2 separate regions of the Mus musculus genome follow, and region 2 is reported to be linked to region 1. Evidence: microRNA targets listed by miRTarBase, many of them from high-throughput screens and not tested one by one. Region 1 holds a microRNA gene; the other region holds the end of a gene's coding sequence.
What was found. Region 1 holds the annotated microRNA mmu-miR-5128 (CAAUUGGGGCUGGCGAGAUGGCU, at 6,524-6,546, opposite strand). A microRNA usually pairs through its seed, bases 2 to 8, with sites in the 3' UTR of a target mRNA and lowers its output. Matches are read on the target gene's strand: a 7mer-m8 pairs with bases 2 to 8, a 7mer-A1 pairs with bases 2 to 7 and ends in A, and an 8mer does both.

Region 2: the mRNA of Tspan13 is a reported target of mmu-miR-5128. Seed matches in the 3' UTR shown: 7mer-m8 at 7,829-7,835.

Annotation. Positions count from the first base shown.
Region 1 is chr2:37,681,689-37,698,074 of GRCm38, forward strand. It overlaps Mir5128 (microRNA 5128), which reads right to left and starts at 6,596; the gene lies at 6,513-6,596. All of the region lies in intron 1 of Strbp (spermatid perinuclear RNA binding protein), which reads right to left.
Region 2 is chr12:36,006,198-36,022,583 of GRCm38, reverse strand. It overlaps Tspan13 (tetraspanin 13), which reads left to right. Exons shown (of 6, transcript NM_025359.3): 4 at 670-783; 5 at 1,981-2,094; 6 at 6,812-8,029. The coding sequence ends at 6,886. Among named protein-coding and RNA genes, the nearest start is that of Agr2, 21 kb to the right of the region's middle.

The DNA of each region.
Region 1 (16,386 bases):
TTCTAGCCTTTCCAGGCACCAGGCACTCATATGGTTGAATATACATACATCCAGGCAAAATATTCATACACATAAATCTTTTTTTAAAAGAAAGAGGAAAGAAAGCATCAAGGGACTCTAAGGGACTTCTAAGGTCACAGAACTAGTAAATAACTGTCCTCACTCAAACCAGATCTTCTACCAGAAGCCTATTTTGTTTCTAGCCATTTGTTCTTCTCAAGTCCTAGTCACTCTTCAAACCTTCCTCCACAAAAATCTTCTCCAATTATTCTTTTGGACTTCTCTTCACACAGAAGTTAACTGAAAGTAAGATCTATGTCTTACACTCCAGTTGTCTTACACCAAATTCAGCAGTATGTCAGATCCAGAGTTATACATATACTACATCTTGATGCTTTTTCTGTTGTTTTGTTTCTTTTTTTTTTTTTTTGGTTTTTCGAAACATGGTTTCTCTGTATAGCCCTGGCTGTCCTGGAGCTCACTTTGTACACCAGGCTGGCCTCGGAACTCAGAAATCCGCCTGCCTCTGCCTCCCGAGTGCTGGGACTAAAGGCGTGCGCCACCACGCCCGGCTGTTTCTATTTATGTATTGGGGTATTTTGCCTGCATGTATGTATGTGTACCATGTGTATGCCTGGTGCCTGTGACCAGAAGAAGGTGCCAGATCCCCTGGAATTAGAGTTATGGATGGTTGTGAGTCATCATTTGAGTTCTGGGAACAAACCCAGGCTCTCTATAAGAGCAGCAAATCAACCATGACTCCCTCCAGCCTGTTTTTTAGTTTTTGAGATAAGATACCAGGTAAGTCAGTCTGTTCTCATTACGTAGCCCCAACTGATCTCAAGCTAGCTTTGAAACTTCAATCCCTGTCTCAATTTTACAAGTGCTGGGACTACATGTGATGCTTTCTAAATAAAACCACTTTAGTGTTAAATATTAACTGAAGGCTGGGAAGGTAAGTTAGTCAGTAAAAGTGCCTGCCACACAAGCTTGAGGACCTAAATTCAACATTCACATAAAAAACAAGAGTGTTAGCACATTTCTATAATACACACAACTATGGAGGAGGAAAGGCAAATGAATACCTGAAGCTCACTGGCAGCCAGTTCAGCTGAAAAAATAAGTCCCAGATTCAGTGAGAAATAGTCTCTAAAAATAAGGAAAGTGATGAAGACACTTGACCTCCACATGTAAGTAGGTACGTACGTGTGTGTACACACACACACACACATTTTTTCAAGCCACATTAAAACCTAAAGAACCCTTCATTTTCTTTAATATTATCAAGTCAATGAATTGGTGGAGGAGTAACAGGAACCCCACAGGATGTAACTTTATGAAGAGATCAAAGCAAGTATCACTAAGCTCATTTTCTAACAAATTACATCCTACTTTTTCACTACCATTTGTTCTTCTCCTAGTCAGCATTATCAATATTGAACACAAAATTCCATTCCATTTCCAGAAAGCACTTAAATTTTGTTTTTCTACATCCTTATCTTTTGGTAACTTTTGCCACAAGCACAGTAACTATATTAATTACTTGCTTGCTAGTGTGATAAAATAGTGTGACAAAAGCAACTTATTGGAGAAAGGGTTTATTTGGGTTACAGTTCCAAAGGGGATACAGTCCATCACAGCAAGGAAGGCATGGCATCAAGAGTTTGAGTCCAGCCCATGGTATCAGCTGTCTAGAAGCTGAGAAAATGCAGAAAATGAGGACAGGCTTTATAAACTCTCAAGGCCTGCCCTTAATGACATATTTCCTTCATTAAAGTTCAACTCTCTACAGGTTCCATAACTTCCCAAATAGCACCACCAGCTGGGGACCCAAGTGTCCAAATACATGAGCCTATGGAGGGCCCTTCATATTCAAACAACAATAGTACCTCACTAATACATTGTATGTATTGGGCTCTCCTGCCTCCCTTCCACTAGAATGTTAAGGTCAGTAAGAGAAGGAATCATGCTCTTTAAGCCCTCATCTTTCTTACTCTCTAGCCCTCCTTCTCTCTTTCCTCTTTCCCTCCCCCCCCCCCCACACATGGCCATGACCAGTCTCTCTCTCTTTCTACCTTCTCTCCAATAAAGTTCTAAAACCATAAAGGAAAGAGAGAGAGAGAGAGAGAAGGAATCATGTCTATCTTATTCACCACTATATTCTAGTACCTAGAACAGAGAAACCCTGTCTAAAAAAAAACAAAGAAAATTGCATATTTCCATTTTGATTTGTATACAATTGCATATAATTTCAAAATTGTATAATTCCATTTCAATATTCCAGTAGAGGTAGAAGCAGCAGAGCCCAATAAATTTTATGAATTAGAGATGTTACTGTTGTGGTTTGAATGTGAAGTGCCCTATAATATAGTTCCTCATATTGTGGTGACCACAACAATAAAATTATCCCATTGCTACTTCATAACTATAACTTTACTACAGTTATAAATCCTAATGTAAATATCTGGTATCCAGGTTATATGATATGCAACCCCTGTGAAAAGGTCGTTTGACCTCAAAGGAGGTAGGACCTACAGCTGGAAAACCACTATACTAAAGGATTCCATTTATGTAACATTCTTAAAATGATGACATCACAAAAATGGACTTATAATTTCTTATGTAACAGCATGTGACACTTTATCTCAAAAATAAAACTTTTGTAAATTCTAAAGGTGATAATATATCCTCTGAAATCAAGTATTTCCCCCTTAAACGGGCTTATAAACTGGATTCTCAGCCTCTGATTCACATTGGTATTACCTATAAACTCTGTAAATGTTTAGATACCATAATATTAGACCAATTAAATAACAATCCCTCAAGAAAAGCAAAACTCAAGCATCTGTGGTTTTCCAATCTTCCAAGTAATTCCAGTGTTCAATCAAGAATGAGACTGAGTAGCCCCCAGAGCTAGAGAGTATAGAATACATTTTAAAAGCAAACTCTCAAACCCTGAGAATTGATGAGTTGGGCCCAGGGTTTAAGGTCAGCCTAGACAATATTGGTGAGGAGAGAGACCCTGGACCTTATCAACAGTTTCTAAAGATCTAGCTACTAATATTTTTGCTAAAATCTTAATTACAAATTTCATCTGTCTTCAAAAAACAAAAAGACTCGAAGATACCTCCATGGACATAAAAATGGAACTATTAATTTGACTTGTCAAAATCTTTCAAACAGAAAGGATATTATACCCCATTTGGTTAGCCTAAAATCAAAAGGACTTATTCCCATAAATTTAACACACAACCATTACAATAAAGTACATAAGGGGAAGTATTTCTTTTTTTGTTTGTTTTATTTATTTATGTATATGAGCACTCTATCTGCATGCACACCTGCATGCCAGAAGAGGGCATCAGATCCCATAATAGATGGTTGTGAGCCACCACCACATGGTTGATGGGAGTTGAACTCAGGGCCTCTGGAAGAGAGCAGCTAGTATTCTCTTAACCAATGAGCCATCTCACCAACCACTAAAATTGTATTTTTCATGAATATCAAGTGTGTATTTCAGGTATGGTGTTCTTTTCCATCTGTGTGGGGAGAAAGCAACAGTGACGGCAGCAGAACACAAACAGCTGGGCAGTGGTAGTGTAATGCCAGCTTGCCAGGCAGAGACAGATTGTCTCTGAGTTTGAGGCCAGCCTGGTCTACTGAGCCAGGACAGCCAAAATTGCACGCGCACGCGCACGTGCGCGCACACACACACACACACACACACACACACACCAACAACAACCTGCCTCGGGGGAAAAAGCCAGAAAGAAAGAGACAGAGACAGAGAGAGAGAAATTTAAAAATGAAGAACACTGAACAAACCCAAACAAACCACATACCACAACTTAATTCAACACATCCAGGAAGCAGTGGGTACGTAATGAGATCTCAGGGATTCTACAAGGATTTTACCAACACAGGATTTAACACAGACACATCTTTTTTACTTTAATTGTGCCTGTGACTTTACTGAAAGCATTTTTGATTTTTAGGTTTGTTGGGAATGGGGGATGGGAGGACCTAATCATGCTACATAAATTATTGCCTTAGAGGAGATTGTCAAGCCAGGAAATTTTATTTAAATAAATAATATAATGTAACAAATATCTGACAGTTAGATGTCACTTAAAATATTAAAGTAATAAGGTCATTTTTAAATGTGTACTCTTTTTACAAGTTCAGAACAACCACAAATTATGGGGCTACAAACCACCAGTTTTTCTAAGGAAAATTGTAGCCTATAAAATACTGGCTGACTGCCAGTACAAATGAGTTTTTTCCTCAAGCTTTGTAAGCCACAATAGTCTTTCAAATGTGACTATAACCATATTATTCAATCAAGAGGCAAAGCTACTAGATGGGACTGCTTGGCCTAAAAAAACATTTGTATAAGCCTACAAACTGCTCCTTATAAATACTCTATGCTGTCACTTTTGAAAAGAGATCTCAGTTTTGTTTGTTTGTTTGTTTACAGACAGGGTTTCTCTGTGTAGCCCTGGCTGTCCTGGAACTCACTCTGTAGACCAGGCTGGCCTCGAACTCAAAAATCCACCTGCCTCTGCTTCCCAAGCGCTGGGATTAAAGGCGGGAGCCACCACTGCCCGGCTCTCAAATTTTTTTAACATTACCATTTTACCATAATTTTCTTAGGTAATGAATTAAGCACCTTTTAACTTTTTTGAAACCAGTGTTAGGAGCCAATAAGATGGCTCAGTGGATGTACATACAAGCAGACATGACAACTTAAGCTCAGTCACTGAGACCAGCATAGTGGAAGGAGAGAACCAACTACCAAAAGTTGTTCTCTGGCTTCCACAAGAGCATTTATACACAAGTAGAGATGTAGAGATGGATGGACAGATATTGTAAAGCATCCAGCCTTGGAATTAAGTTAATTGGTATGTTTAAAATTAACATGTTCCCACACACAGCTATCCCTCAAAAACAGCAAAACTTCCATTACAATCCAAAAAATATTTCCTTCAATTTATTCTCTAAGTAAAAAAATAGTAAAAAGGCAATCGTGAAAATAGAACAGAATAGATATAATTCCCAGTTCTACTTCTGTTGTTCTCTCTCAGAAGTAACTTGAACAGCTAGCCATTGCACACCTCAGTGTTATTTATTAAAACAGAAATATTTTTGTTACTTAATGGTGAGGTTTATGCCATAGATATGCAATATACATGAAGTAGATTAGCACAGTACCTCAACATACCCAAAATATTAAGAAGCCTACATGTTTTTGTATAAATAGTGTATCAGAGATACTACTGATCTGAAAAAGAACTGTAACAGCCCCTGAGTGTGTTCTAATGCTAGGATACAGTATAAGTTTCCTCCATCCTTCTGAGCAGCTCTTTAAACAGGAAAAGTAAACAACTCAAAATAGCCTCAGGAAGTCCCTGAAACTGACCAGATTCACTAGGCCCCTCCCTGCCAGATTAAGCAATAAAAACTTTAAAGTCACTCTTAAACAAGAAGCTGTGGTGCAAAGCAGACTCTGAGAAGCTAAGCTGCAAAGACTCTTGAGACCAGACCAGCTGCCTAAAAGTCGCAGAAACCAGCTGAGCTGCTTAGACAAGGTTTAGACAAGAGTTACTTGGAAAGGACACTATGAAACCTATTGAGTAATCTACAGGCTGTGCAATGTGCTCCAGGTTCCCAGCTTTTGCAAAATGTCACCTGTGCTGGGGTGGGCTTTGATGATGCAGCTGACTCTGAGTCAATTCTGCTCCTGTAAGTAACTCCAATAAAGCCCATTTGTTCACCAAGCTGGACTTTGATAATATCCATACTTTGATCTGTTTTGTACATGTAAATAAATAATATTAAAAAAAAAAAAAAAAAACTAACGCCTGGGCTCAGCTGTTAAGATCACTGACCATTCTTACAGAGGACCTAAGTTCAGTTCCCAATATCAACATGTCGGTTCACAACCACCTATATATAACTCCAGTTCCTGGGGATCCTATGCCCTCTTTGTGGCCTCTGAGGACTTATGCATGTACATGATAGTCATGAACTCCTGAAGGCTAACATTCATATTTTTTTTTAAATAAATCTTAAAAGCCTACCATCTCTCAAATACTAGATAGTATTAAATTATCTAAAATTGTCTGAGAAACTGTCTTTTCTAGCTACCTATCTGTGTAAGGTAAATTGTTCATCTTCACATACTTCAAACAAAACAGACTAAACACAGAAGTAGATCTTCTATTAAGCTATACTAAATTAAAACGTAAAAATCAACTGCTACTTTTCTCACCCAATTTTCCTGAGTTTTGTTGTTTGTTTGTTTTTTGTAGTCGCCACAGCTACTGCTGCCACCCACCATCAATTGCACTTTTTTTTTTTTTTAAGATTTATTTATTTATTATATGTAAGTACACTGTAGCTATCTTCAGACACTCCAGAAGAGGGAGTCAGATCTCATTACGGATGGTTGTGAGCCACCATGTGGTTGCTGGGATTTGAACTCTGGACCTTCAGAAGAGCAGTCGGGTGCTCTTAACCACTAAGCCATCTCGCCAGCCCCAATTGCACTTTTTAAATTAGTAAAACAGGAGCTAGAAAGACCTCAGTAATTAAGAATGTTTACTGTAACTATGAGGACCAAAATTTGGATCCCAGCACTCACATTAGGATGCTCACAACTGTCTTAACTCCAGTTCTCAGGGAGTTCTCCAACAGCCTCCATAGTCATATAAGGCCATGCATGCACTCTTAAAAGCACACAAATTTTTTTAATTATTCATTTAATAAAATGAAAATAATTTCCAGTATATACTTTCTAGATATCAATAAATAATAACACATAAACAAAAGATCTTTAAGATCCTCAATTTTTTAAGAGTATAAAAGGGTCCAAAAAAAAGCTTGAATCCACACGTGGAAGTACATGAGAGGCAGTCAGATCTCTGAGTTCAAGACCAGTTGGGTCTACATAGCAAGTTCCAGGACAGTTATATAGTAACTCTGTCTCCAAAAATATAAATAAATAAAAATAATTCAAAATAAATTAAAATTTAAAATATAAAAATACACAAACAAAATGACTATGACAGCCAGGTGATAATGATGCACACCTTTAATCCCAGCTCTTTGGAGAAAGAGGCAGGCAGATCTCTGTGGGTTTGAGGCCGTCCTGGTCTATAGAGCTAGTTCTAGGACAGCAAAGGCTATACAAAGAAACCCTGTCCCGAGAAAAAAAAAAAAAAAAACTAAGAGGAAGGAAGGAAGATAGGTAGGTAGGTAGGTAGGTAGGTAGACAGACAGGTATGTTGACACCATACAATTTGGGAGCAGGTGATAAAAATGTCTGACCATTTTGCAGTGAGCAGTGTCCTCCTCCAATCAACCAACAACTCAAATTTTCAGTGAAGGACTTTGACATAAAAGCATTGTCATCGATCCTATTTCATAAAGATAACAATCACTTAGCCATATGACCTGTTCTAAGTAATCAAAAAAAAAAAAAAAAAAAAGACCAGACAGCACTTACTGTGCTCTGATCAAATGCCTGCCTGGCACAGTGCTATATTTACATTATCTCTTCATTCTCAGGACCCCACAAAGTAGCACAGAACAGGAAACAGACACAGATTTATTTGCCAAAGGCCACAGGGAATAAGCAGTGGAATCTGGACTTAAAATCAAGTCTGTGTGACTCCAGAGTCCAGGGCTCTCTACTTTTACCAGTTACCTTCATTGTACTGAAATCAATACAGATTCGAGAAATCAAACCTTCACTTAACTTTCTATGTCCTTGACCAACCCACTACTTCTCTGAAACAGCTTTCTCATCAACAAGATAAGGGGGTTAGCCAAGGGCTGGAGAGATGGCTCAGGGGTTAAGAGCACTGCTCTTCCAGAGGTCCTGAGGTCAAATCTCCGGCAACCACATGGTGGCTCACAATCATCTGTAATGGGATCTGTTGCCCTCTTCTGGTGTGTCTGAAGACAGCTACAGTGAACTCATAAAATAAAGTCTTTAAAAAAAACAAAAAGGGGGGGGTGGGGGGTGGGGGGGTAGCCTGGTTGATCTCCAAAGTCTCCTCCACAGCTAATATTCTTAGATTGATTTCCCATAACCTCAACCCCACAATTTTAAAAAGGCCTTTGGTATGTTTTGCTGAACTAGAAAAAAAAATATATATATATACACATACATATATATATATATAATATTAATGAGAAAATTAATAGGCCAGAATATAGCTTTCCATGGTTTATCATTAATCACTATCATAAAATAGATTACCATGAAGTATATACTTTTCATTCATTCCAAACAACCAAACTTTCCTTCTTTTACATTAGATTGGGTATCCTTGAAGCTGGAGAAATGGTTCAGCTGTTAAGATCACTAGCTGTTCTTTCAGACAACCAGGGTTCAATTCCCAACATCCATATGGGAGCTAACAACTATATGTAACTCCAATTCCAGAGGTCTTGATACCCTCTTGAGGCCTCCATACACACATACATGGTATACATAAATATATTCAGAAACATAAACTGAAATAAATTACTTCAAAAAAGGAGTGGTAGCGAGGGGGGCTGGGCATCCTGATCACTGAGACATCTCTAAGGGTGGTAAACAACATTACCATGATACAGTTATCACTGAATTATATATAGGGTTTGGTCTAAGGGGCAAATGCCTCCTCATCAGCTTGTTTAACACCAATTATCCTTTGAAGTAAATGTACAATTATCAGTGCAGACATGGAGACATTTGCTAAATATTTTTGAGAAAAGAAGGGTAAGCTGCAGGAAACTGAATTTGGCACAATGACACATCCACAACAAAGAGAGGGAAAAGAAAAGAGAGAGAAAGGGTAAAGACACTGTATAAGTGAAGTTTTACTAGTTTATGCAATGTTGATTTTGTCTAAACTACCAAAATTGAGGCTTTCTGTCTCTAAAAGCTACAGATCTCTCCATTTGAGGCCAGTCTGTCTGCACAGAGTTCTATGACAGCCAAGGCTACACAGAGAAACCCTGGGGGGGAAGGTGAAAGCTGGGCATAGCAACTAACATCTGTAATCACAGAACTACAGAAGATGAGGCAGGAGGATCACCACAATTCTGAGAATAATCTTGACCCTGCCTCAAAAATCCAATTTACAATTTGGCATGGTGGATCACACCTTTAATCCCAACACTCAGGAGACAGAAGCAGAGTTCACAAGGATGGATCTCATAACAACCCTAACTCCAATTCCAGGAAATTATAACCTCTGAAGGCACCAGATGTGCACAAGGTGCATATATACATATATCTGCAGGCAAATACACACATAAAATTAATAAAATCTTAAGGAAAAGAAAACCTATCCAAAGGATCCAGGAAGCTCTTATATCCTTTTTCACCCCAAACCCTGTATACTGAAGCATATTACACAACTGCCTATTCTGTGGGGTGACTTACCAAGGAGCTTCAGAAGAATAGGTGAAAACAAACCTACTAAAAGTTCTTTTAAAGGCTGAAGAAATGGCTCAGTGGTTACGAGCACTAACCGCTCTATAAAGAACTAGAATTTGGTTCCTAGAAGCCACCTCAGACAGCTTACAACCAGGGGATTCAACACAATTATTATACACACACATAATTTTTTTCTTTTTAAGTTCTTGCCAGACATGGTGGTGCAAGTCTTGACTCTCAGTATTCAGGAGGTAGAGGCAAAAGGATCTCTGAGTTAAAGGCCAATTTGGTCTACAAAAGTGAGTTCCAGGCCAGGAAGGACTACATAAAAGAGGGACGGAAGGAAGGGGAGAGGGAGGGAGGGAGGAAGGGAGGGAGGGAGGGAGGAGGAATTGGGGGAAGGAGGGAGAGAGAAGTTCTTTCAAATTTTAAAAATAAGAGAATTCTTAAAACACATACAAAACAAGGCTAGAAATGTTATTTTGAAAGTCTTCAAAACACAGTATGAGGGCATGTCTAGTTTAATCCATGTGAGAGTGTGTGTGTATGTATACACAAGTAACTGCAGGCAGTTGTGAGCCATCTAGCACAGGGGCTGAAACTGAACTCAGGTCCTCTGAAAAAAACAGCAAGCACTCGTAACTGTTAATTCTTTCTCCAGCCCAAAGACTGTTTTTAAAAAATAGTTGTTCCGATTCTTCATAGGAACTATAACTCTTCGAGGGATTAAGGAGGCTCATTTGGTAAAAGCACCTACCTTCCAAATGCAAGGATCTTAGTTCCATCCCTAGAACTCAGAGGAGAAAAAAAAAAAAAAATGCTAGGCTAGGCATAGTGGCACTTGCTTGTCATCTGAGCACTACAGAGAAATAGGCAGATGGATCCCTAAGGTTAATAACTGGCCAACTAGTCCTGCCTAATTGATGAGCTCTGGACCAATAAGAAATCATCTTAGAGGAAGTGGATAAATCTCTTGATTCTATCTGAGGCTGTCTGTCTTCTAGCCTACCCACATGTAAATAAATATCTTAAATCTGGAAACAAGTTCCAATACTGGTAAGTCTACTCTAAGCACTCTGTATATAAACTTATTTAAGTTTGTAACTTAAATAACAGTCACTAGACATAAATGGGGCAGGGTGGATAATGTCTGCAAACAAACCTCAGACACTACACTACAAATTTCTTATTCCTATATTAATGACTAATAAGAGTTCTGACAGCTGCTTCCTATATTGTTTTCCCTCCTGGTCTGAGGAGCTCTTAAGGCAAACACACCATCTTCTAAGGCACTACTTAATCCCCCATACAGGATGACTCCTCCATTTTTTTGTTTTTGCCATCTCACTCCCAGGTTTAGTAAAGAGACTCAACTTTTTGAGGCAAATTCATATAGATTTTAATTCTGAAATTAATCAATCAGGAGTTATTGAAGCTTTAGTTTTCTCCTCTGGGAAACAGTAATCATTCTGAAAAAGTAAAGACTGAGAAACGCACAATGCATATCTGCTATCAGTATTAATATGACTGACTCTTCTATAAAGTTTTACAAGTATAATACATCCACTATTAAATAGCAAATGAAAGATTTTCTTTATTCCTTAAAAGTATCAGACAGCAGTAAAGCACCAAAAGTGGATAATCTCTAATACAAAACTTCCAACAGTCACCTTTACTTTGCAAAATTTGTTTGTTTACTTGCTTGGTTTTATTTCATGTTTGAAATAGTACTTTACTCTGTAGCCCTGGCTGGCCTGAGCATGCTATACAGACCAAATTAACCTTGAACTCAGAGATCCACCTGCCTCTGCCTCAGATGATCTGGGGTTTACAAGCATGTGCCATCACACCCTGCTTTTTCTTTTCTTTTCCTTTTTTTTTTTTTTTTAATAATTCTAATGGTTTAAACTGCTTAATTTTTTTTTACCTTAAAATAACAGACGTGTTTTCAAACTACATAACAAAGTTTGCTTGGCCATGTGAATGTACTAAGTATGTGTTCATTTTAAATGACTTTTCAGGAAAAATATTTATTGCTTTTCAACATTATCAATGCTAGTGATATGTCATGAAGATTTTCTGATCCAAATGTCTTTATTTCTAACTTTTTTTTCTTTTTTAAAACAAAGAAAATAGATTTAATAAGGAAAACCTCTCCTGAAAGTATGAGAGGTTTCAAGAAAAGAACACTCCTGGGTTACTCCTTTGTATTTGTAAATCAGAAGCTTGAGCGAGGTTAAGCCTGGAGCATGCTTAACTGAAAGTCAAGAATCTATTGCATATGTGAGGCACACCTGTAATCCTACCTAGCACTTGGGAAAAAAAGGTCTCCAGAGTAGAAGAAGTACTACCCACATAGTAGAAGCAAAGAATAGATTACTCTGTTCTCTGGCCTCCATATGCACACCATGCTTAAGGGCACCCATACAAACACACACATACATAAAAAAGTGTAACCTGGCCGGGAGTGGTGATACATGCCTTTAATCCCAGCACTCAGGAGGCAGAGGCAGGTGGATTTCTGAGTTCGAGGCCAGCGTGGTCTACAAAGTGAGTTCTAGGACAGCCAGGGCTATACAGAGAAACCCTGTCTCGAAAACAAAACAAAACAAAACAAAAAAAAAAAGTGTAACTTTTAGTTTAAAAGGAATATATATAGCCTATCACAAAAAAAGTGTAACTTTTAGTTTAAAAGGAATATATATAGCCTATCATTCAAACTTTTTAATTCAAATAAGCAGTAACTTCATATTGACAAAGTAGTCAAGGATTCTCATCATCTGACTTCAAATAAGACAGACACTACTTAGATACCTATAGCCAGTGAAGCAGCAGTAAAGGAGAGTTCAGAGTTATATCCAGCCACTGAAAATATATGAACTGTTTTTACACTATGGAGCAAGTTTGGAACAGATTTAGTGAAATAAGTTGAACCACTGACCACTCAGGTAACTTAGCAGAAATCTTCAAAATCAATTAGCTAGATTTATAGTCTATCAAAGATTGGGCAAAAGTTGGAAATTTGGTCTGAAAAAAATTCACTTTAAGAAGTCAATAAAGTGGGGCTGGTGAGATGGCTCAACAGGTAAGAAGAGCACCCGACTGCTCTTCCAAAGGTCCTGAGTTCAAATCCCAGCAACCACATGATGGCTCACAATCATCTGTAACGAGAACTTACGTATAATAAATATATAAATCTTAAAAAAAAAAAGTCAATAAAGCACGTAAGCAAGCAGTGGGTGGGACATTCTCTTTAGTCCCAGCACTCAGAAGAAGGCAGGTAGATCTCTGTGAGTTCCAGTTCCAGGACAGTCAGGACTACACAGAGAAACCCTGTCTTTGGGGGGGAGGGAAGGCATGTAAGTGGGAAATATCACATTGGCAGTGGGCTATAAGAAGCCCAAAGTTCCAAGCTAAAGAAAAGTTGGGCACTTAAAATCATGAGATCAGGGGATTGGGGGGGTGGGTATGGTGGACTTTTGGGATAGCATTGAAAATGTAAACGAGGAAAATACCTAATAAAAAAAATTTTTTTAAAAAATCATGAGATCAGAGACTAAAGAAATGGCTCAATAGCTAAGAGCATTCATTGGCTGTTCTTCCAGAGGATGCTGGTTCAATTTCAAAGCCTCTTCTAACCTCCATAGGCAAGGCATCCACCATGCCAAATGCTGCTACTAGGTAAAATAAAAATTAAACTTGGGGGCTGGAGAGACAGCTCAGTAGCTAAAAGTGCTTGCTACTCTTCCAGAGGCCCCGAGTTTGCTTCTCAGACCTTAACTTATATTGTACCTAATTCTTCCTTTAAAAGCAAACATTATAGCCAGATGGTGGTAGCACTCATCTTTCAATCCCAGCACTTGTGGCAAAGACAGGCAAATCTCAACTTTAAGGACAGCCTAGTTTAGTCTACATAGTGAGCTCTAGGACAGTCAGCTACATAATGAAACCCTGTCTTGAAAAAAAAAAAACAATAAAATAAAAGCATTGTATGTTTCATAACATAAATTTTTTTATTTTTAGATTTTATTTTTATATGTCTTGGTATTTTTCCTACTTCCACATGTGTGCCCAGTGCCCAGTGCCCTCAGAGTTCACAAAACAGCTTACTGGATTCCCCAGGAACTGGCCATTTTCAGATGGTAACCATCATGTAGGTGCTGGGAACCAAGCCTGGATCTTCTCTCTACAGAACAACTATTCTTAAAAGTTGAACTTTCTCTCCCATCACAACAAGTATCTTCTTTAATCTCCACTCTAACTGTAAACTAGAGGATGTTTTCCAATTTTTAATATGAAATCTATAACAAATATAGCTGATTTTTATATAATTCTGTTTATCAAAAAGCTAGCAGATAAAACACCATTTAAAGCCTTCATTATTAATACATGTGGTATCTACTCATCCATGCTAACCTTGACCTCACAGTTCACAAAAACTAGAGATACACACACTGATGGCTTACACTGTTTATTCTCCCTAGTGCTAGCTTACACAAAAATTAAACCATCTTTCCCTTTAGTTCACTAGCTTTGCTAACTGAAATTACCAGTTACCCATAGATGTGTAATTCAGAGCTATTCAGTATCTAAAACCTCAAAAGGCTAAGATGTAGATGGCCTACGCTGCACAAAAGCCAGTAAGTCAGTGTGCTGATTGATTAGCTTCAAAATTCTTTGAACTACAGACACAAGTACACATGAACACCGGCTAGCAGGGAAAGGCAGCAAGCACACACTACTGTAATGACAGCTTCTTGGGAAACTGAGGTAGGAGAATCCAGCTTCAAGGCCAGCCTAGTATCGAGACCCTGTCTCCTCAAAAACAAAAATCAAAACCAGATGTGGTAGCTCATTTCTGTAATCCTAACACTCAGGAGGCTGAGGCAGGATGATTCAAGGCTACCATGAATTATCAAGGCTACACAGTAGGTTCCAGATTTGCTAGAATGAGACCTTGTCTCACTACCAAAAAAAAAAAAAAACATGGCTAGAGAGATAGTTCATCAGGTAAAGGCTCTCCTTGCCTCCTGATGATCTGAAAGCCTTGGCTCCTGCATGGTAGGAGAAAAAGAGACCCTCTCATGTTGTTAGTCCTCTGACCTCAACACACCACTGCAGTACAAACACACCATGAACACACACACACATACAAAAATAACCTTTTTTTTTAAGTTACTGCCTCCATTTTAACTTTCAAAAATAAACCACCTACTATAAGGTTACAGCCTTACTATCTTAAAATGGACTTTTCCAGTAAGACTAACTAAACATAACCAAAGTCACAAGCTATAGTTTGTTTTGGGTTTGGTTTTTTGGTTGGGGAGGGTGTGCTTTTTCTTTTTCTTTTTTGAGACAGGGTTTCTCTGTGTCACCCTGGCAGTCCTGGAACTTGCTCTGTAGACAGGCTGACCTCAAACTCAGAGATTGCCTGCCTCTACCTCCAAAGGCACACACCACCACAGCCCAGTTTCATAAGCTACAGCTTTCATGGCCAATCTATCTAGTAAAGATCTGTTCTTTACTCAACACAGTATTTCTGAGTCCTAAGAAATTTTAGGTCTGGCATAAAACATGCCTTAGAACGTAAATGCAAGTTTAGCAATGGCACTCTAAAACAGGCATTGGAGGGCAGGAGGGCATGCTCCTTTTGAACAATAACTAGTTAGCATGTCAACAGGACTAAGCTGGTTAAATTCATAAATTTCTGATTTGCCCAACAAGCCACTGAAATGTACAAAGCCTAGCATCTGGGAAATACAAAGAAGTTCTGCAGGTGCTGTAACAAACTACATCCTATTCATGACCCAAAACACCTCAGAAAGTATACAATTTACTGTAGAATTCTCATTTTTCACATGTAAAGGAACCATGAAATCACAAAATGCTGTGATATAATCAACTATACCCTTTCAAGTGGTGCTAAAGTTAACTAGAGAAAGCAGGTGTATACAGTGTTAGTTATGTTAAGAGAGAACTTGAATACCAAATAACAAAAATTTAGAGCTTCTTCCTTCATACATCTGCACACATATAAATAAAGTCTTCTGTAGAGCAGGAATTGTACTTCCTAAATACAGTGTACCTAAATGACTTGTAGGGCAATAATTCAAATTATGAATGAAAGTGACCAGTCAGATTTTTTGGTCAAGTCACTATACAGTGTACAAACTCAAAACTAGATTAAAATTAACAGGTTTGAGCATAAACCATTTGTTAGATCACCACTAATCTGATCTCATTGTTTCAAGTGACTATAAATTTAATTTATATGTATAAATATTTCTAAATAAACTTTCATAAAATTATAGTATAAAGTTACTCATCTCTACCTGTCAAAAAAGTTTTTCAATAGCTAAACTAATTTTAAAAAGCCAATCTTTCAAACAGAAGAGCAGTAAGATAGGTAACAAGTCCTAGATCAGACAGTAAACCAGTAAACAGATCAGCTGGTACAGTAAGACCACTATTAAAGACAGAAATTATCACAACCAAAGCAAATTAATGTCTAATAAAGCAATTCACTATTTACATGTTTGCTTTGGCAGTTGTAAGTAGGTTCTTTATAACTAAGGACAACATTGAAAAGACTTTAAATTTTTACAAATTTCTCCCTTTTAGGCAGAACATATACTGCCCATCAATAAAAAGCTAAAGAGATGCCTCAACAGATAAGATCAGATACATACTGCTCCTGCAAAGGACCCAACTTAACTTGCAGCACACACTCTGTCACAACTGTCCAACTCCGGCTCCAGTGGATTCAATACTCTCCTCGCCTCTGTACAACCTACACTCAAGACAGACAGAGACACACATACACACACTATTACTTAAAATTAATAAAGACAAAATACTTTTTTAAAAAAGAAAAGCTCTGAAACTGGGAAAGTAATGCTTCTAAAAATCATGTTTAGAAAGAATCTTGGACTTAAGCTAAAACTTAATGTCTG
Region 2 (16,386 bases), not on the chromosome of region 1:
AGGCATGCACCGCTATGCCCAGCTAAGGGAAGCTTTTACTCGATTCTACTTTATTGTGATACCACATAGCATGACTATGAAAATGTTGGGAGAGAGGACTAGAGAATAAAACTATTTCTTTTTGTCAAGAATGCCAGTTTACTCCCTCTCACTGCTTAAGTGGCCGGTGGAAATGATTGCAGGCAAAGGTGACATCAGGTCTTGGTAATTTGTATCTGTAAATAAGACAGAACTCTCACTGGGTAAAATTTGCTGTTGTTGAAAGATGGTTCCTGCCTTTCCCCACTGCTGGGCAGTCGCCTGAGGGTCTGTGGTTTCCGTCCATCAACTACTCCTTTCAGAGTCTTAATTTATAAAGAAAATATGGGTTTCTGTCTAGGAACAACTGAAACTGTATTGTTTGTGCCTTTGAACCAAGTCTTGTTTTTAAATTGGTTGTAAAAACCAGGACCTTTTCATTTATAGGCTAGCCATAGTACCTTCTTTTTTTTTTCAGATCAAGGGATGAGCTTTTGAAAGAGTGTAACAGTTTTGAGGCTATTGATTTTCTATGCTCTGCTCCTAGCTGCAGGCTGGCCTCTGTATGTTACTTAGGGATTATGATACATTGTTACACAGGGATGATGATACATTGTTACACGGGGATGATACATTGTTGTAATTTCTTAGGGTCAGCTGCTGGAAGTCGGATGGAACAATACTGCAAGTGCTCGAAATGACATCCAGAGGAATTTGAACTGCTGTGGCTTCCGGAGCTATAACCCAAATGACACCTGTCCAGCTGTAAGTCCAGAAAGGTTTTCTTTAGTGTTTCACATACAGTTTAATAATGATTAACAGAAAAGTGGTCTTTCTGGTACTGAATTGTGTTTCAAAATTGTTTGACATAGGCCTCTGTTGTATTTCTCACATTTGTCACATTTGCTCATCTATGTCCGGAGAGATACATCGCATTTATTTATTTATTTATTTATTTATTTATTTAGTAAAAATACACTGTAAAACATTCAACCACCACACAGAGGCCTGTCGCTTGTGTAATTCTAGATTTTTGTCATGCTCATAGTTGACAGTAGCCATCACACCAGTCTCAGGAGGCTGAAATGAGGTGTCAGCAGAGACTGAAATTCACCCAAGGCTTGCTGTCCTCTGCCTGGCTCAATGGTTGTTTGTAGACCTTGACTCACTGTAGTTGTAGGATTACAAGCCCTGTTGGCTTAGTGGCATTCAGCTGGTGTCTCCGTGACCATTAGTTGTCACCAGTTAAGTAGTATTGCTGTGAAGAGACCCCATGACTAAGACAACTCTTACAAGAGAAAGTGTTTGATTGGGAGCCTGCTTACGGTATGAGAGGTTTTCCATTTTCACTGTGGAGGGGAGCAACCTAGCATACAGGCATGTCCTGGAAAAGTAGTTGAGAGCTACATTTGGATCTACAGGCAGATTGTGTGTGTGTGTGTGTGTGTGTGTGTGTGTGTGTGTGTGTGTGTGTGTTGGGGGGGGGGAGGGGCTGGAGAGAATGAACCGACCCTAGACTTAGCATGGACTTTTGAAACCTCAAAGCTCCATCCCCAGTGACATACTTACTCCAGCAAGACCATACCCACTAATTCTTGTAATCCTTTCAAACAGTTCCACTCCCTGGTAACCAGGCATTTAAATATATGAGCCTATGGGGTGCCATTCTTATTCAGATCACCACAGCTGGGTATCACTTACAATGCAAGCAAGTTACTGGAGAATCTGTGGTACTAGACCAAAATCTTACACAAGGCAATCTAGACATCTACCAATCCTATCCCAGGCTCTAGAAGGGGACAGACCGATGGGTCCTACAGAGCATCTACAGGACTTGACCATCTCAGAAACTTGCACACAATTTAAAATTTATACCCAAACTGGATGGAGCACTCTAGGCCTGAATTTCGACGGGTTGTGAACATACGCTGAAGTAACAAGTCTTTCCTTTTATCGATACAGAGCTGTGCTAAAAGTACCCAGAAGTGCTCCTCGTGCGCCCCCATAATCGGAGAGTATGCTGGAGAGGTTTTGAGGTTTGTTGGTGGCATTGGTCTCTTCTTCAGTTTTACAGAGGTATGTAGCTGGACTTTGGCTACTTTGTGGGTTTTTCTTTCTTCGATCCCCCCCACCTTTTTTTTTATTTTACCCTTCTAACCCTCCAATACTAGATAGGAGAGAAAGAAAAGAACAGAGGAGAAAGGGGGTGACTTTGGTTTCAGACTTGGGACAAGCAGCTGAGGTGCATTTTTTACATACCAATGTGAACCAGGCCTCCAGGTTCTCCCAGCATCCCTCGGGCCCTGTCATGGCTGATACCCCGCCCTCTATGATGAACTTTGCATCCCAGGGGCTAGGCTTCCCCCAGAAGCTCCTCCCTATATAATCCAGAACTTTTTTTGTCTCCCTCCCTCCTTTCTCCCCTCTCTCCTTCTCCCTTACCCTCTCCCTGACCTTCTCTCTCCCTCCCTCATTCCCCCCCTCTCCCTCTCTTTCCCTATCTCTGCCCTTTCTTTGTATCCTCCCATCTGTCTCCTTCTCTCTGGCGACTTCCAGGCCTTATTGTTTGGGACTGGTGAACCTGCCTGAGAACTTCCCCCCAATGAACCTGCCTTTATACTTTAATTCAGCTTGAATTGGCTCATTTCATCAGAGAAGAATACCTATCAGTGACATTATCATTAGACTATTTCCTGCTGATCAGGGCATCAAGTTCCTTGGGGCAAGTTTGATCTTTGCCCTCAGGATGTCTAACTTTTTCTTCTTATCGTTTCTTTGTGCACAGCTACGTAACAAACCACAACCACAGCAACCAACAACCCACACTGCCTCTGGGGCCCTAGCATTTATATCCCCTCTGTAAAGTCCCTAGAATTTCAGATGTCATATACTCGCAGAAACTGTCTGCCGCTGCAGAACCATGCTTCCCCTCCTAGAGCATGAGGTAAATCATAGCCAGCTGCTGTGGACAGTCTGAAGCAGCCCCATGTCCCTCGCCTGGGATTAAAGCTCATACGGAGTTCAGTTTTGTATGACTAGAAGACAGAGCATTGTACTTCAGCATCAAACATGATACTCGAAAGGTATCAGTGCTCATCTTCCTTGAGATCACTTGGTGTGATGGGAGCACCCTTAGCTTAGAATCTGAACGTCTGAGAAATTTGGCATGAACTTTATGATGGGGGTGACATTCTTGATCTGTTTGGACCTGTATAAATTATAATAAGTGAAATCAGATTAGTGTGGAGTAACTCTGGACTTTTCTTTCTAGAGTTACACGATAAATTATAGTTAAGTTTTGTATTAAGGAATACGTGTTAATATATGTTAATTATATAATGTGTTAAAAATGTTAATATACGTTAACATATAATATATACACTATACATATTGCTTTTAAGAATTGCCTTTGTTGCCGGATGTTGGTGGTGCATGCCTTTAATCCCAGCACTCAAGAGGCAGAGACTGGTGGATCTCTTGAGTTGAGGCCAGCCTGGTCTAGAGAGGATAGCCTGGGCTACATAGAGAAGCTCTGTCTTGGGGAAAAAAGGCTGGTAGCTGAGGAAAATTGGGAGCAGGAGAGATGAGGTGGTCTTTCCCACATGGACTAATTGATTATCCAATTCCAAATGGGCAATCCTGAAACATACACAGAAATAATAGTATATGGATTAGGAAGGTTATATTTAGGAATATATATATATATATATATATATATATATATAAATGTATATATATGCATTAACAATTTTTTGAGGTTTTTGTTTTGTTTTGATTTTTGTTTTTCGAGACAGGTTTTCTCTGTATAGCCTTGGCTGTCCTGGAACTCACTCTGTAGACCAGGCTGGCCTCAAACTCAGAAATCTGCCTGCCTCTGCCTCCCGAGTGCTGGGATCAAAGGTGTGCGCCACCACTGCCCTGCAATGCAGTAACAATTAATGTAAGAAAATGCTATGAATTTAAAAGAGATAATATGGGAGGGTTTGGAGAGAGAAAAGAAGGAAATGAATGTATTATATAATATTAATAAAAGTAAAAATAAAAGAAGTGTAAAAATTATTTTACTTTCAACATTGAAAAATCACTGTGAAATTTTCTCCCATTTTCTTATTACTACCTTTCTAAAACCTACAGGTAACTACTGTTATTATTTGTATATGTTTATATTAAGTTAATATGTTTTACTAACAAGTAAATTTTATATATTTTTAAACAAAACCAGAATGCTGTACTAAATTTACAATACTGAATTGGTAATAAGTATCAAGACAAAATTTTGGTTTTGAGCTGGGGTTTTATTATATAGCCCCTGCTGGTCTTATATTCCCTTTTTCTTAGCCTCTTGGGTGCTAGTATTAAAGGTCTGATCTGCCAACAATTCTGTTTTAACTAAAAAAAAAAATCCATGCATATTACTTTATTTTATGGAAATAATTGTATAACAACATAAAATAGACACACAAGGCTATTTATAAGCAACTTTTATAAAGATTTACTTTTAATTATATATATGAATATGTGTCTATGTGTAGTAGGTATGTGCACATGAGTGTAGATGTCAGGGGAGGCCAGCAGGGGGCGTCAGGACTTATGGCTGTGGAGGAGCAGATGGTTGTGAGTCACTAGACGTGGGAAGCAAACTCCAGTGCTCTGCAGGAATACCAAGTACTCTCTTCACTGCTGAGCAGTCTCTCTAGCCTTCAGGGCATTATTTTTTTTTATAATATTTGGGTACCTTTTACTTCTTGACAATATGCTAGTTGGGTCAAGATGTCTGACATAGGAGCAGAACAGGAAGCAGGGTTGGAAACTGAGTGCACCTGCTTCCTAATTGTGGCCTCTGGAGCAAGGTAATCTTGCTAGCCCTCACATAGCTCCTTCAAATCTTCTATCTCAACCTCGAAGAATAACAACAGGCAGTCGCTTCCCGGTGTTATGACTAAAGGAGCCAGTGGTGTAAAACCTGGAATGCTTTGAGCAGTACTTGGTGTATGGGGGGCTAGTTATTGTTTTGTAGCCATTAATAAATTTATTAATATATGACATATTATGCCCTATTGGAAAAAAGACAGTGGGTCTTATTGACACATGAAATGTCCATGTCACACTTCTGTTTTAAATAGATAACAGAAGAGTATGAGTCAAATAATTCTTTTAGTAGAATTTGCATGTATAGCTATAGAGGCATAGTAGGCTACTTACAAGAGCAACATACGTCTTTACAAAATTGCAAAAATTCTGTTTTATATGGTTAGAATTTAACCATAAATGGATCACTTAATCTGTTGACCATTTGATTTTCTTTTTTAAAAATTACCTTTCTTCATTGAATGAGTGTTGGGGGGCAACATGCATGTGCCATAGTGGGCGTGTCAAGAACACAAGGGCATCCTCTGGGATTTGTTCTCCCATCCCCCCTTATAAATGGTTTCTGAATGGTGAACTCAGGCCATTGGGCTTTGCAACACAGGCTTCACCTTCCAAGCCACTTCACCCCACCTTTTAAAAAGTTAAACTTGTGTATTTACCTGGTGTGGGTGCACTTGTGCCAGAGTGCATGTGCGGAGGTCAGAGGACAGCTTTTGGGAGTCTGTTTTCTCCTTTTACCATGCGGGTCCTGGGAATGCATCAAGGAGCTTTGGTCATGAGGTTCTAGCCAGGACCTCCACCTGCTGAGTCAGGCAGATCACATAATTTATTTTGATGTATAAATATTTACACAGTTGCCTCCTGTGTGTGGAATGTCATTCCCTTCCACCCCACTTTCCCCTTGGGATGTATTTCTAGGTATAAAATAAGGCACAGTATGGGAATGGTCAAGAGATTTTGGTAAGCTGCGGTCGCTGATGCATGTCTTTAATCGTAGCACTTTGGAAGCACAGGCAGGTGGTTTGCTCTGAGTTCCAGGCTAGCCTGGTGTACATAGTGAGAGCCTCTCAAACAAACACACACAAACAACACAACAATAAATTAAATCCTGTCATCTGAGAAAAATTGACCAACATTTGATTTAATAACTAACTCTAGATAGTTTTGTTACTAAAAATATTTGACAGGGCTCAGGGATTAGTGGTGCCTGCTGCTTAGGACATTGTCCCCGAGAGGAAGATTTATGTTCATATCCCAAACTTGGTTCCCAGCACCCAGGTCAGGTGGCTCACAGTCACCTCTAACAGACACCTGTAACAGAGGCTGCAATGCCTCTTGGGGGCACTCCTACACACATGTGCACACACAAAATTAAAAACAATAGAGACAAATGCAAAAACCATGCAAAGTTCACATTTGGCTATTTATCAGAATGGAAAAGTTGAGCTTGCTTTTCCAACTTCACAAGTCAAGCTGCCGTGTGGAATGTGCCTGGTAAGCACATCTTATCCCTGTGTCTCTCCTGTGTCCATGTTGTCTCCTCCTCATCAGCACCACAGGGACTGCGCCTTTGAGCCCACCTCCTCCTTATCAGCACCACAGGGACTGCGCCTTTGAGCCCACCTCCTCCTTATCAGCACCACAGGGACTGCGCCTTTGAGCCCACCTGGATAACCTCTCCCTAACATGACCACACGTTCAAAGGCCTTTCACCTCGTACAGAAACATTTGCTGCAGCTTCCAGGCATGGGGAAGGAGCATGCAGTCTAACACAGTGTTCAAACTTCAGATTTGGTAGTGCCTGTCCTTTGATTTGCCTGAATCTTGTCTTTGCACACAAACCAAGCAAAAGGAACTCAGAAGTTTAATTTATTCTGTTCATCGACTAAATCGATTCAAAACTCGTTTGTCCTTCTAATTCCAGATCCTGGGTGTTTGGCTGACCTACAGATACCGGAACCAGAAAGACCCTCGCGCCAACCCGAGTGCTTTCCTTTGACGAGAAGACAAAGAAGACCTTTCCTCTGTTGATCTTGTTTTCTTTCTCTAATCTCAAATTAAACTAATTTGTTCATACGACAAAGGAAGCAGTATCTGAAAACCACATTATGTCAACGATGGAATTAAAAATTTTACTCTTAAGTTTCTCCAGACATTTTTTTTTTCTTTCCATTGCTAAAAAAGCAATCGAAGTTCCCCATATTCCCTGGCCCTCAGTGGTCCCTGTAATCTACTGTTGTTGGTGTCTGGCACTGTCCACCGTGGCCTTTCTTAGCATTTTTACCTGCTGTAAACTGTGTATGGCACCCCTGGGTAGATGATATTTGACCCCAGATCTTCATCTCACTGTCTAATTACCCAGAGCACTGGGGCTCCCACCCAAGACAGTTGATGTTTTATGAATCCAGAAAGGAAGAGACTCTGTTGTGTTCAGTTCATTAGGAGAAATCTATGTTCCTGATACTTTTTGCCTTTTGGAAAAGCTACATTGTAGTGAAAAGTGTTAGCACAGAAGTGATAATTTAGTTCTAGTAGTCTGTCAGGATTGCATCCCTGTGTTCTAGAAATAGCTGTGTCTTTAGGAAAATGAAATTTAGTTTTTGACCTTTTTAGTCAAGGGCAAAGGAAGATACCATTTGGGAAATGCTTTGGTGTGTAACATCTTCAGCTCTCAAAATGGGATGAATTTGAGGAAGATAGAGCATATATCTACATAATCTGATGTAAAAAAAAAAAATACGAAGTTCAAAACACTGTATATGTAAACAACTTGCCGTCAATACATTGGCCCAGGCCCATGTAACAAATAGATATTTGGTTATCTTTAAAAAGTAACTTTTTTTTTCAAGACAGGGTTTCTTTGTGTAGCCTTGGTTGTCCTAGAACTAGCTCTGTGGACCAGGCTGGCCTTGAACTCACAGGGATCCGCCTGCCTCTGCCTCCCAATTGCTGGGATTAAAGGCACGTGCCACCATCGCCTGTCAAAAAATAACTTTTTAATGACATTTCTTGGTATTGTGACAGCAAGTTGTCAAATCTAAATATATTTGAATGTACTACCTCCCATAAGTTGAGAGAGAAATGGTGTTTGTGGCTCTGTATATTACATTAAAAAAATAAAAGCTGAAAACCTTCCTTTGTATATGGGTGTTTAAATCAAAGAAGGTACTAGAAACATTGACAAGGCAAGTAGGCATCTTTCCTTCTGCTTTTCCATAGCCTTTTATTATACCTTAAGATGGTGTTTAACCAAGCCTTAGAAATACACCCCCAGTAATGATGTCTTTTGGAAGTTATTCCCAAATCCTTTCTTTTTTTTTTTTTTTTAAAGATTTATTTTATTATTATATGTAACTACACTGTAGCTGTCTTCAGACACACCAGAAGAGGGAGTCAGATCTTGTTACGGATGGTTGTGAGCCACCATGTGGTTGCTGGGATTTGAACTCTGGACCTTCGGAAGAACAGTCGGGTGCTCTTACCCACTGAGCCATCTCACCAGCCCAAATCCTTTCTTAAATTAAGAAACAATTTGTGTGTGTGTGTGTGTGTGTAAGTCAGAAGACAATTTGTAAGAATTGGTTCTCCCCACAATATGGGTCCCAGGGATCCAACTCCGGCCGTCAGGTTGGATGGCAAGTCCTGTTGCTACTGAATAATCTGCTGGCCCTCAAATGCTTTATTGAACAAGTTCATTGGCTAATGTTATCATCTGCATAATGAAAAAGGTGTTTTTATTTATTTGAAGAAGCCACTTCTATTTATATGGAGAGAGTATACACACATTCTTTTCCATTAGTGACAGTTAATTTCCTGTTGTGGTTCTGAGTAGAATGTGAAACATTATTGGTGATCGATAGTTTATACCAAGAGGTTGTTGGTAAATGGTACAGAGGAATGCACCTTGGGGCATCTGTGTCTCTGCTGCTAGTGAGTCTTACCCAGAAGCAGAACTGCGCTATTTCTAGGGTGTCATGCCGAGCACCATGGCCACCTGGGCAGAACTGCTTATGCTGTAAAACGAGAGAAGTGACTCATGAAAGGAGAGTGTTGAAGGCTTGTTTTCTTTCCTGTATTTTTTCTGTTTATTCAGCTGCAGATGAAAATACCCGATGAGGTTCTAAGGAATCCTAGCATACTCTTGGTACAAATGATTGCAAATGGAAAGGTGGTTGCACAGAGAACTCGCCTATAACTTGGTTTTTGCTCTAATTGCAATGGCCTTATTGGAATCAGTTAAAAACCAGGGTCTGAGGGGCCTGGGGAGACGTCTCAGCTATTAACAAGTCATCCTGCTGTTGAGGGAGTCCAGAGTTCCTTTCCCAGCACCTACCTTAATGCCTCACCATGGTCTGAAACTCCAGTACCTACAGGGGGATCTGATACCTCTGGACCCCTCAGGCCCCTGCACACTTGTGCATTCTCTCTCACTCTCTCTCTCTCTCTCTCTCTCTCTCTGTCTGTCTGTCTCTCTCTCCCTCTCTCTCTTTCTCTCTCTCTCTCTCTCTCTCTCACACACACACACACACACACACACTAGATTTGTTTTTGGTTTTGTTTTTTAAATTAGGATCTGTCCACGGGGAGCATTTTTGTTTGTTTTGGTTTCTGTCTTTTGAGATAGGGTCTTCCTATGTATGCCAGACTTATTTTGACCTCTTTATGGCCCAGGCTAGCCTCAGACCTATTGCTGGGATTTACAATTGCAGTAAGCCCATATAAAGACCACACAATCCAGTTATTCTAAGCTGTAGATTGGGCAGATGTAACACTATTCTCTAACTTATTCTCCAGCTATAAGACCCCTTGCAGTTTCCCCTGACCAAGTGGTTCTGCTCCAACATGGCTTCCTCCTCCTCCTCTTCCGTCCTCCTTGTGTTCTCATTCTCCTCCCTCTCCACATGCTGTCCTCTCTAAGACCTCCTGTCCCACCTTTCTCCTCCACTGCCCAATCACACGCTCTAGCCTTTATTGATCAGTTAAAACAGGGAGAAGGGTCACATGAGATCACCTGACTCGGGGCAACCCCTCTTGAGGAAAGAGAATTAACATCAGAATACAAACAGCACCAGGGCAGCCCACAACATTTCCCCCTTTTTGTCCAATAAAAAAGGCTCTTTTTTTCTCAGATATAAATTTAGTGCAACTATAACAATTATGCAAATTATAAGTTATATACTTAACATTCAGTCCATCATATTTGTCAATTTAGATAAAGCACTCTATCATATATCCTAACTTAAAACGTGTATAATCCCATGCCTGAATTATGTTGATTTTAACTTGTATTACCATCTGACATCCATCCCTTCATATCTGGAACTTCTTTAATGCTAAACAACTTAATTTCAGTTATGAGACTATAACCAGTCTTCAACTCATTCAGAGATCTGAGAAGGAATTAAATATTACCTAAATATATATGTAGGAAGCATAAAGACATAGCTTCCAAAATTATACAACTTATAGAGACAGCTGGCTGCCTGGAGTCCATTAATTTTATATAATGTTGGAGCATCTATCTTTATCCTTCTGACCCATAACCATTTGACCTTAAGTAAAACAGGAATTATGGAGGACTGGCTTACTCTGTCTTGGCAGAGGATAGCAGTCGACTACTCCACCTCTGGCCTATTTTGGACAGTATTTTTTGTCTGCAGATGAATTGGGGCAATTCTTGCTCAGTGGCTACCTTGACACAATTGAAGCAACTCCACATAGAGGTAATGATGCTTAATATCTTCCTTGAAGTGGAATGGGTATAGTATCAGGAGCATGCATATCTAGTCAAGTGATCTTTAGTAATGACATGACAGTAAATGCCATTATGCTGTGAATCTCTGACACGGTTGAAGACCATATATATATACGTATATATGTATATCATAACTGAATTGTCAAACATTGATTATTTTTAGCTACTCACTAATTAAATCTTGAAACCACTTGTTGCAATTAACTAAACTAGAATCTAATATGACCATAAGTCTCACTATTAACTTGCATCTTAATCATCCTAAATATTTGTAATACCAGTTATTAAAAGGACTGGGTCTAAGTCTTATAATCTTAAATGAGTTGCATAGACACAGTGCCTAACACAAAAATATTTTAAAATTTGTATCAATATACAAAGATTTATATGAATGAAAACCTTGAATCTGTACCAATATTATTCTGTACTAAGGTAAGAAAATATAACTTCAATTTTAAATCAAATATGTAAAGACTTATATCAGTGTAAAATTATGGCTATTCAGTTCTTTGTTTAAGGGTAAAATTTGTCCAATAAAAAGAAAAATCCTCAAAAGAATAAATTTAGTAATCCATCCCCATATATCTAATTTCTTGTAATGTTACTCTATTCTCCTTTTTTCTTTCAACCTCTTTCCCTTTACCTAAGTATGGACAGAGAAGTGGAATGGAAAGACAGAAAACCCAAGTCTAAGCTCTCGATTTAGTTTCCTCCCTGTCTAAAATTATGACCATTTCCAAATTATTTTTTTAAATGACAACCTATCTATAATAGGAATGATGACTCTCCTTGGCTTCTTCCTGCTGAATAAGGGCAGGAATATATAAGTGTGTGTGTGTGTGTGTGTGTGTGTGTGTGTGTGTGTGTGTGTGTGTGTGTGTGTGTAATTTTTAAGGGGTGGGGAGGGTTAGGAAAATTGGAAAAAACTCAGCTAGACTTAAGAAAACTAGCTTTAGCATCAGTTATCCAGTCTCTGTACTTGACTGAGGTTCTGACTGTCCGAGAGGCTGAATGTACCAAGGTCATCGGGACTCAACAGCTGTTCCCGAAGCTGTTATGGAAGCAAGTCTTTGGAAACAGCATCTGGAGCAGGGAACTTGAGCATCAGGTCATTTCAGCATCAGAGATGTATCTTGGTGTTTCATTCTGCAATATGAATCTTACAACCCGATTTTTAATACTATTACTTGTATGGATTGTGAAAGGTGCACAGAGCAGTTAAGGATGAATTTTTGCCCCTTGTTGGAGCAGGTGAAAGACAACTGTCTTTTTTATGAACTAATTTGATCAACAACTAATTGTAATAAATCTTCACTCATCCCATGTGAAGGATGGCATGATGGATCTTAAGGATTCTGTAACCAACAAGATTTATTGGTTAATTTTAGCTGAAGGTTTAGCTTAGGGACATTTTTATATCTAAGCCAGTTACAGGGCTGTTCCCATGTGGAGGAATCAGCAAATCATGTTACCTGTCCTGTTTGATCTTCTTGAATTTTTCTTTTCTGTCTGTAGCCAAGATCTTTAGGGGGTCTTCCCCTATCATGTGTGATCCATATCACTTTGGAAGGGGTCCAAAGCCTTTTCTTCTTTCCTGTTAACACAAATACAGGGCCTCTTCCCCAAAATAGCATGCCCTTGGTCCAGCAACCCAAAGTCATCAAAAATATAGATTGATTCAATTTAGCAGCTTCCTTTTTCTTTAAGTTTGCTCTATTTTGACCTCTCTTATAGAGGATTTGTAATGCTATAACTCGCAAACATAACTTTCTGCATTTTGGTAATTAAAACAATTCAAAGACATTACATTGCCATATGCCAGGCTAAGCAATCGCAGAATTCCTGTGGAGCCCATGTTCAAAGAACCTAGTTGCTTATAAAACATTGGCTTCCACCAGTTCCTCCATTTCATTTCTGTATTTTATTTAGATTTGCTTTCAGTGGTCTGCCTCTTCTGTTAAGGTCGTATCAGATAAACGAGGTCTAATATCAATTGTATATCTAATCCATTCATCTATTGGTGCTGACCTTGCCTGCATTCAACATTTGCATTTTCAAAAGCTAAAGACTCGATTATTGCCTTTCTTGCTGATGGAGCTGTTATACTGCTTTCTACAACGGAAGTTAACCTTTACAAAAAGTCAGGGAATGTTTCTTTTGGACCTTGCATGACTTAAGAAATTGGTTCAAGTCCTTTCCCTGTTTCTGTGACTTTGTCCTGGGCATTGAAGGCTGCCACGTGACATAATGTCAAGGTTTCTTCATCATAGTCAGCCTCAGCAAAACAACGTTCACCAAGCAGCTGATCGCTAGATATATTGATACCTCTGGCTTTATCTTGTCCTGCTATCTCCTTCACCTCTTCTCTCCACCATGAGAACTGGTAACTATGACCCAGGTTCTAATATTGCTCTTGTCATATCCTTCCAGTCTTGGGGGGACTATTCTATTTTTAATAGCCTAAGAAGTCAGCATTTATTTTACAAACAGGGAATGCACTCCAAATTTAGTGACACTTTCCTTAGATTTTTCTCAGTTCTAACATCCATGGGTTACCATTTGAATTCCTTATAATTCTGTGGGTCATCACCATCTTTGTTGGCCTTTGTAGTATACTAACCTAAGATGTGTTGTATCCAGACCTAACGTGATTCTCCTACCCATGTGCTCCCACACCCCAGGGTGAATCATTAGGACTATGAAATTGCAGGATTATATAAGTGAACAATAAATAATAAATGATTAGCCAGTCAGGACATACATTTTCAAGAGCTGGGGCTTCCCTGTCAAATGAATCTGGCTTTCTTTTTGCCTAGGTGGTGACTCTCCTAGGATGCTGCTGTGATCCCTTTTTGTTTCTGATTGCAGACAAACACCTGCCATTTCATGGTGTCTCAGCATCTACTGCAAAGCCCTTTGAATAGGTCCATTCCATTCCGTGTATGGCCCAGCTGTGAGCCTACAAAGGTCTGGCAAGGCTCCTGATGGCAGGGTGGGTACTGTCCATGTGGTCAAAATTCTGTCACAATGTGTGATGCCTGGGGCAGAGGAGTGGGGAATGTCGAGCTACAGCAAGTGGTTGTACAGCAAACCCTCTGTCCCTTCCAGCCAAACCTTGTAACTCCTTCAAGAAGGAACTCACTGCTTAAGCAGTTCTCTGATCCCTTGTTTACATGTTCCATTTAGAGGAATGTTCTTAGAACATTTGCTCAGTCAGCCTTGATATTAAAGGTGAAATTTTAGCTTGGGAAAATACAGCTAGTGCAGAGGAGAAAGGTTTGACTGTAATCTCTCACATCTGAGCTCACTGCGGGTGAAGTTCATCTCTGATACTTTGTGCTCTGTGGACAGCAGAGTGTTTGCTATGAAAACCAGTTCTGCGTGCTCAACCTGGAAAATACACTGCCAGATGGAATCTTCCAGAGAGCGAGAGGAAACCAGGCATTTCCTTCTTGGTTCCTTCGAGCCAAACCCTTCTTCTATGTTTCTAAATATTTGCTTAACCCTGCCTGAACTTATTCATCCCTTTATAAATACATTGACTATGTACAACTGTTTCATTAGTTAGCTGAGAAAGTACTCATTTCTACAGAGTAGTTTATAGGAAAAAAACTCATTGTAATTGTATAGGCGCAACTGCTCATGTAGGGATGGTTTTGCTTTATTGGCTATGACAAGGACATGAAAGACCAACTTTACTAGGCTTCTGGTTAGTGAGGAGTGTTATGCAGTCAGGGTTTGAGAAGAAGAGATGGCGAAAGGTCAGGGCTAGTCCTGTTGCCTTTTCTTTTCTTTTAACAATTAATTTTTAATTATGTGTATGTGTTTGTTTGTGCGTTATGTGTATGTCAGTAACGTGCCCACAGAAGTCAGAAGAGCGTGATAGATTCCGCAGAGCTGGATTATAGTCAGTTTTGAGCTGCCTGACATTTTCAGCCTTGCATTACAGTTTTTCTTGAATGTCCTGTTATATCTGGGCCCAGCAGCCCTTGAGCTATTTCTTTGAGACAGTTGCAAAAGGGTAAGTGGGAATTCCCATATCCAGCCACTTCTCACTACTCTCCTTAGGAAAACTAGCTATGATCTTTATTCTCAAATGAGTCCTGAGGGAGTTGCCGGAGTTTAAATATGTGTCACAGGATGGACTTTGCCATGTGTGTTGGGTGAAATTGCTTTTGCTTACATACAGAGTCTCATTTTTTTTTTCCTCAAAGAGGTGAGGTCATAACTTGGCAAGGGGCCTTCTATAAGATCACTTGATCACAGCTTCTTAAACTGAACAGAGAGAGTTCTGGTCTTGCTTAGAACCAGAACTTGCTTTCGTTCTCCCTGCCTGCCATTCTCAGCAGAGATAATGGCAAAACCTCAGTAGCTATATAAGATTACCAAAAGCAAGGGTAAAATAAACAGACCCAAATCAAATATGTCTTAGACGGTCATTTGAGCAAGATCAGTTCCTAAAAGTGTTGACTTATGGCTGGTCTATATCAACTTTTTTTTTTTCTTTTGAAACCAGGTTTTCCCATGTATCACTCGTGTCCCCAGAACTCACTGAGTAGACAAGGCTGACCTCCTATTCACAAAGATCTGCTTGCTTATTCCCATGTGCTGGGACTAAAGCCAGCTTTCTTTTTGCCCCTCTGGAAAACATTTATGTGACATCCAGGCGAGATAGTGCATGCCTTTAATTCTAGCACTTGGGAGGCAGAAGCAGGTGAAGCTCTGAGTTCGAGGCCAGCCTGGTCTACAAAGCAAGTTTCCAGACAGCCAGGACTACACAGAAAAATACTTTCTCAAAAACCAAACCAAACCAAATTCTCTCTCTCTCTCTCTCTCTCTCTCTCTCTCTCTCTCTCTCTCTCTCCTTCTCTCTCTCTCTCTCTCAGCAAATATATACTACAAAGGTTTTTTTAAACCACTATTAACATACAGTTCATGACATTAAATACATTTATATTTCCCAGTATCAACATCTGTCTTAGTTACTTTCTTATTGATGTGAAGAGACACCAGGATGAAGGTAATGCAACAGAAAGCATTTCATTAGGACTCACTCAGTTTCAAAGGCTGAGTTCCGAGCATCATGGTGGAGTACAGGGTACCAGGCAGGCAGGGGTAAAGCAGTAGGTGAGAGCTCACATCTCATCCAAGAGCTGGAGACCCGAGAGAGACTTGGCCTAGCATCGTCTTCAGAAACCTGGAAGCCCACTCCAGTGATACACCTCTTCCAACAAGGACACGCCTCCTAACCCTAAACAGCTTCTTCAGCTAGAGACCAAGTATTCCAATATACTAAGCTCTGGGGCCACTGTCATTGAAGTCACCACACTGTCAGTTCATTTCTACAACATTTTATCTTTGCAAACTTGAGATACTACATCCATTGAACAGTAAGACCTCCCCATTTCTTTGATCATTTCCCAGGCCTTAATGACCAGATTTGCTCTCTCCATGAGGAGGCTCTAGGCACCTAGGTGGAATTTTGGGAGTATCTGTCTTTTTTTATGGCTAGTCTGCTTTCCTTAGCTTACATCTTGTCTTCATGCTTCAGTCCCATGGTAACGCAGGCCAGGGTTTCTTTCTTCCTTATCATTCATGGAACAGTACCTCACTGGATATATGAGCTGCGCTTTGTTTATCCCTTTGTCCACTGATGGACAATTGGGTTGCTTTCATCTTTACCTGTTGTGAATAGCTCTGTGAGCATGGGCTTAGAGCTACCTGTGTCCTGCTTCAGTTCTTTT